Linked DNA regions of Rattus norvegicus. The protein of the gene in region 1 purifies or fractionates together with the protein of each later gene. This does not show direct contact. Links are inferred from orthologs where the notes say so. Each region holds a gene or a part of one and is shown on either strand. Other genes may lie near its edges.

Region 1 (4,321 bases):
CACACACACACACACACACACACACAAAGGCACAGCATTTCCAACTTTTAATCACAGTCCGGAACTTCATGGAGGAAACCCGTCGAATGACAAACATCATCAGAGGCAAGGTGAGGACCGCCCTGCAGTGAGGCACCCAACACAAACACCGCGGGTGGGTGGGCAGGCGGCTGCGGGAGCCAGGAGCCACCTTTACACCTTAGAAACTTTTTATTACTTTTGTTTTCCAGATTTCTCAAAGATTTCCCTTAAGTTTCCTCACAGCTGAGCTGATTGTTCCCCTTCCTAAGATCCAAGAACCTACCTGCTGGTCACTAAAGACTGGCCAGGACCTGTGTGGTGGGACAAATTGGCTCTCAGAGACTTCTAAGCAGGCAGAGTGAAGTTAGGTCAGTGCTCTGGAGTGGTCTTACTAGGAGGACCACTCTTTGTCCTGTCACCAAACACACAGTGACTGCAAGTGCCTTTGCTGGTAACACCCCACTTCAAGGTTACAACAGGGCACACAGGAACATATGGAAGAGTACCTGGCAGTCTAAACTATGGTACGATTTCACTAACATTCTATCTTGTGTTTAAGAATGTTCTGTTCTAATATTTGGTTTGTGTTGTTCAGGGACACTCTCAGATAGCCCACGCTGTCTTCAAACTCAATAATGTAGCTGAGGCTAACCTTAGCCTCCTGTCTCTGCCTCCCAAATGCTGGGATTACAGGTGTGTGCGCGCCACCACAGCTGGTTTGCTCTTAATTAGAAGCTGATAGTAGGAACTGGGCTAAGAGGGTAATTTATTTGTGAGTTTTTCTTTTTTTTTTTTTTTTCGGAGCTGGGGACCGAACCCAGGGCCTTGCACTTGCTAGGCAAGCGCTCTATAGCAAGCGCTCTACCACTGAGCTAAATCCCCAACCCCAAGGGTAATTTATTTGTAATCACAATTTCCAAGAGCCAAAAGACAATTTTAAAGCTCTGTATACACTATAGCACGCAGCTTCTGTTTAGATTCAGAAAGGTCAAATATTACAAAACCTGCCCTCTCCACATGCAGAGCAGAGCAGAACGCCCTCCCAGGGAGAGCACCCAGCCTTCTGCACATCCAGTCCTGGTGCTCCCCAGGTCCTAGACCAGAAGACGCCTGGACCATACCTCCTGAGGGAAATGGCCCTTCCTTCTCTCTGCAACTCCCCTGCTCTGACGGCCCCACTGCCTGCTGCATCACTCACACACAGGGCGCCAGCTGAAGGTGGAACTGCCTAGATCTCCAGGGCCAGCGCTAAGATTGGCAAATCCAATATTGAGGAGTCTCAGATTGCAGAGTGCACTTAAGACCTCACTTTCAAAGCAACCCTGAAGCCACTGTCCAAGTGTAAATCGTGTCACCGATAGCCTCCGGAAAGCCAGTCCTCTCTCATCTATGTGACCAAGAGCAGGGGCCCTCACAACAAAGCCCCCATGACCTCCTGCTCCCAGCATCTGCGGCAACATCTCACTGAACAGCAACCAGGCAGAAGCCCTCCAGAGATGAGCCATGTCCAAGTCTCACACACAGTTCTAGATTCCAGTCGGCAATGGGGGAGGAGCAGGCCTCCGTGTCGAACACATTTTATTTCCTCGTGTAAACATCAACTTTATCTGTACCAAAGATTAGAGATGACTGGTTCAAACTGCACGGCCTTAACCCAATGACGAAAGCAACCAAGGGCAAGATTTACAGAGCTGGACCTGAACCTAACCCACACTTCCTCTTACTTAGTCCTTGTGAGGGAACTGAGGGTCTCAAGCGGAGTTACTGTTAGGATTGGTTGAAACCTTACACTCTGACCTGTCTTGGGAACTGTCAATGAATGACTCCAATCAAGCATTTGTACCACTAAAGCGCAAAAGGGTGTCCGACCTATGGATACTGCATTAGATCCCTAAATGAACCGAATACCCAAGATCAGAGGTAGAAGTTTTTAAGTGACAGTTCTAACTGCCCCCCCCCGACCCCAACACACACAGCCCGAATTATTACGAGTCTGACACGATTACAATTCGGTAGTTGGGGTGGGGTGGGCTTTGGCCTAGTGTATTTGAAATAAAGCCTTTAACATTTAAAATTCGCTTGGAGGTGCTAAAAGAAAGGGATATTCAGGCCCTGGACATCAAGGGGAGGTGGACAGGCTGTCACCTGGGTGGAGCCCTAGGGGCTGGGCTGTGGGACGATGCATTCGGAAGGCCCACCGAGCAAGGGCGGAGGGTGAGGAGATGCAAAAGACACAGGGGCTGCCCTCCCACCCGGCAGAGCCTAGGGCTGGGAGGGGTAGCTCCAGGCCCGACTCTGGACCCCAAAGGCTAGTCCGGGGCGGGGGCAGGGCGGATATCCCAGGGAGCGCTGCAGGAAATGATATCCAGACTCGGAGGGTGGGTCTAGGAAGCGGCCAGGGCGATGGCCGGGAGTGGGGGGGAGTGCGAACGGAGGATGTGGCTCCGGAGCGCAGGACCAGGGAGGCCCGGCGCGGGTCCGAGGAGTAAGAGGCGCAGGGGGGCGAGCGGCACCTTACTCACCCCACTCGAGGAACTCCGCCACATACTTGTCGCGGCGCAGCGCCGAGTGGCTGCACTCGGTGTAAAGGCACACCAGCACGTCCAGCAGCGTCTCCACGCTCAGGGAGCTCTCATTGCGCCACGGCCCGTCCAGGAGCAGCTGCTCCAGCTTCTTGAGCCGCACCTTGGCCGACATGGTGCCGCGCGGCCCGCTCCCCACGCGCCGGCCTCTCGCTGCCCGTGCGCCCCGGCGTCAGAGCCAGCACTCCCCGGCCCAGCGGCCGTGCACCCCGGCGTCCAGTAGCCGCGCAGTCCTTGTCGTCGCAGCCCGGCCTAGGCCGACATCTTGGGCTCCGTCCCGGCGGCACCGAGTCTGGGGCACCGGGCCCCGCGGGTCCATGGGCCGGTCTCCTCCCCTAGGCGCCGCCCGCACGCCCGCACGCCGTCCCCGCCCTCAGCGCCTGGCCGCGCCCTCCCGCGCTCCGTCACCGACCCGGACCGTGGCGGAGCCCAGCACCGCGCAAACCCGGCCGGCGCCCGAGCCTGACCTCAGCCCGGCCGGCCGCCCAGCCCGCGACCTGCAAGCCAACCAGGGCGCGGCCAGCGCGGCGCAGCCAACCACCGCGGGGCCGACCGCCGCCGCGCTGACCTCAACGCGACGCCCCGCCCTCGGCCCGCAACGATCCGCCGCTCTTTGGGCCTCGCGATTCGCCGTAGGAACGGTGTGGGGCGGGGTGCCCAGTGCGAAACCGAGATTGCGGGTGGCGCACGCGCATAGGAGCGCGGGCGGGGCGGCTAGCCAGGCTGTGTGTGCCCTAGGTCCCATAGTTCGGCTCTGTTCTCGGGCCTCCGGACCGACCCTCGTGGCCGAGCGGCCTCGAGAGCATCGCTGCTGGGTTTCGGTTGAGCTTGTCCGAGATGTGGACGGACAGTGCCCTGTGCCCGAGTGCGCACAGGAGACGCGGGTGGGGCACCTGCCGAGAGGCTCCGGGATCCGCTGGACGCGCGCTCCCCACTAGGCAAGCGCCACTGGGAATGCGCAGTGCCCTGCCTCGTCTGTGCAGATTCTACCTCCTGACTGATTATTAGGCTGTCCACCCGGTGGGGAGTAGACTGTTGCCTCGAGGCGAGTCGCCGCGTTTGCTCGATTCGGCGGCTGAGAAGGTTGATGTAAAAATATCCCTTACGACAATCCCCCAGCCTCCGCAGAGGAGGAGCCCTTTGTAGACCCCAAGGTTGCTTCAAAAGAATGGGGGCTTGTGGTGCAGTAGAGGAGGGGCAGGTGGGGTTTGGAAGCCGGAAGCTGAGAGGAGCCTGAGGCAAAACGCTGGGTGGAGGGCCGAATGGCGACTCACGCGCAGGAAGCGACTGAAGAGTCCCTGGAATGATGCATGACTTGATTGGGGATACGAGGCACACATACAAGCCTCCACGCTGTCTTCAAAATTCACGCGGGTCAATATGCGTGTGCATCTAGCTTAGTTTTCAAAACGCAGGCAAAATAGCCCAGTGTAGTAGGTTGGATAGAGCGAATCTTCGTCAGACCTTTATTATTGTGAGGGAATCTATACGATATAAAGTATATTCACGAGTTACTGCATGTATGTGATGCCCAGTTTTTAAAACTTAAAATGAAAGCCCAAGAGAATCGTCCTACCCAAAACTAGAATCTAAGCACTGTTAGTAGGACAAAGACCCAAAGTAGTCTGACCAGACAACTGCATTTTCCCCCTGACAGCCCCCATGCTTCCTCTTTGTCCCGTAAGTTTGCTCATGAGTGTTTTCTCTGGCCGGCCCTG
Region 2 (2,545 bases), on another chromosome or scaffold:
TAGGCCACAGAGCTGAGTCTGAGGACACACAAGTATTGAAACAATAGCCACTTGCTGGCGTGGGCAGAGTAAATGGCAGGAGGGACTGGGTCTCAGGTCAAGTAGGAACAGCTGGTGGCCTGTCAGTGACAAAGCTTGGTTAATGGGAAACTGGCTGCCTGCGAAGCCTAGCGAGACCACAGTTGCCTTCCTTCTCTGCCAAGTCACAGCTGGGTGACTGGCTGAGGGACACCTTGAAGCCTTCTGAGTTCCAGTATCCTGACTTGCAAAATATAGACCTTCACAGCAGGTACCTTGGGGAGACTGTGAGGTACCACAGGGTTTGATGGATTTTGAAAAGTACTGCTGAGAGCTGCTCGCAGTGCATCCCTTTCTTAATAGGAAACAGAGGTGCTGAAAATATCAGAAACCCTCTCCAGGGTGCCCCCGGCATTGGTCAGCTCTATCTCCTAGACGCCCTCTCCCTAAGGGGCAGAACTGGGTTGTCGGTCTCGTGAGCTCCCATCCTAGCTTTACCACCAAGGGCCTTTTGATAGTTGACTTTAACGTCCCCATCTGTGACTTGTGACATAGTAAGAATTTCACTTCATAGGCTATCGTGAGGATTAGCTCTAGTGTGTTAGCTTTGTCTGGTTCATAGTAAAACAGCGAATAAATACCAGCTCACTTTTTGATTGGCTCTTAGGAACCTTTGTTTTAAGAAAATGTGTATTGGTAACATCTGATGAAAGAAAAAAATAGCAGACTGCAGAGGGAGGGAGAGCCACACCTCTTTAAGAACATGACCACTGGTACTATCCCATGCCCCAGTAGATGGCCCCAAACCCATTTGTATATGGGCAGGACTAACTGGAGTCAGCGTTTCTGTTTTTGTTTTAGTTTTTGAGGACATGGATTTTGTAAGAGTGGGCGGGTACTAGGGCAAGCTGGAGGAAGGTGGTAGTAAATGGATATGATCAAGATACATTATAAAATGTATGAACTTTCAAATAATTAATAGAACATGTTATGGCAGCCCACATACATGACCTAACTGGCACTGTCACGGTAGAAAGCCCCCTTTGTCCAGCCCATACATCCCCCTTCCCACCCAGAAGCTATGTCACCAAATCTGGTGTCTATTACTCTTGAAGTCTCCTCCATCTGAATATCCCCCTTGGACACCAAAGAGTGAGAGTGGATGGAAAGCAGCTCTAAGCCAGGACTGGCACAGAGCGAGATTTAGACATAGCTGCTAGCCTGGCACAAAGCTTCATCGGGCAACAACGCCCTCCCACTCCACTGCAGTCAGTGTCCTTTCACCTCTCTGGGCCAGGATGTGTGCCTGCTGCCAGATGGATCCGTCAGTGATCCATGACGTCAGTTAGGATTCCTATTAATGAGTGTCCTCAGCAGAGTTTACATACAGAGCTACGTGTGCTTGCCAGGCACTCTGCTGACTGGAGTCTGTCCTCTCCCGTTCCAGGCAGAGATGCGGCTCCAGGACCAGCAGCTGGCCAGGCAGCTCATGCGCCTCCGAGGAGACATCAACAAAATGAAGATCGAGCAGACCTGCCGCCTGCACAGGAGGATGCTCAATGATGCTGCCTTTGAGCTGGAGGAGCGGGACGAGCTGTCCGACCTCTTCTGCGACTCCCCGCTGGCAGCCTCCTTCAGCCTTTCCACCCCGCTCAAGCTCATTGGCGTCACCAAAATGAACATCAACTCCAGAAGGTTCTCTCTCTGCTGAGAAGCCTTGGGATGGAATGGGAACCAGAGTCAAGGGGGAAAGAGAGAGGGGGCTCAGACCAAGTTACCCAAAGTGGGTCTCCCTGAGGCCATGCTGGGGAGGGAAAGGCACCAGGACCTGGTGGTAGTATGCCAGGGGCTTCAGCTTTCTATACCTGGGTCTTCGTGTTCCAGACCCAAAGAGTCACAGACACTACGTAAGACAGGGCTCTCAGCAGGATCCCTGTGGCCTTCCCCTCTGTGGCCTCTTTCCTGTGTCCTAGAATCACTGGTGCTATGATGTCGAATCCCATAGGGGACACTCCTCCCATACCCCTGCCAAAGCTTGTTCTTATAGAAAACTCTACTCTAGGGGAGCTGAGATTATTAGATTATGTAAATTATTCCCATCTCTCATGTTCTGTTACCACCTTCTTAGTGCTAGCTCTAATTGCCCCTAAGTAGGAGACTCGGCAGAGATGTGGTAGGACAGGAAAACTTAAAGGAATAACAAGGTGACACGTGGGAAAGCAGGCTTCTCTTCCATGGCTGCCAGCATCCCTGGGAAGGAACTCTGCCCAGCTACTTTGAACTTCAGCCCTGACACCACAAGGCCATGTTATTTCCAGCTTGCTCCATGACATATGACACATGTACTTTGTAGAGCTTTGGTAGAGCGACCCAGATGTCCTACTGTTTTCCGGCACAATCACTTCAGTTACTTCACTGCCACCCATAACCCTGGAGAATACCTAGCAGGCCACTGGCCACTGGTGGCTAAACTAGGCAAGGTAGGATATAGATTCCCACAAGTGAACCTACAGTAGGGGCATGACAG

Evidence for each region. The genes of interacting proteins can lie anywhere in the genome.
Region 2: the proteins of Cdc42bpb (region 1) and Fam167a purify together in Homo sapiens (co-immunoprecipitation; 3 studies listed by BioGRID and IntAct, counting the BioPlex papers as one, with this or other methods). This does not show direct contact. The link is inferred for Rattus norvegicus from reciprocal best matches to the Homo sapiens genes CDC42BPB and FAM167A.

The regions. Positions count from the first base shown.
Region 1 is NC_086024.1:136,234,765-136,239,085, forward strand, and holds the start of Cdc42bpb (serine/threonine-protein kinase MRCK beta), read right to left. Parts: upstream 2,807-4,321; 5' UTR 2,719-2,806; coding exon 2,544-2,718; intron 1-2,543. UniProt on the Homo sapiens protein: Serine/threonine-protein kinase which is an important downstream effector of CDC42 and plays a role in the regulation of cytoskeleton reorganization and cell migration. Regulates actin cytoskeletal reorganization via phosphorylation of PPP1R12C and MYL9/MLC2.
Region 2 is NC_086033.1:41,886,861-41,889,405, forward strand, and holds part of Fam167a (protein FAM167A), read left to right. Parts: intron 1-1,465; coding exon 1,466-1,729; 3' UTR 1,730-2,545.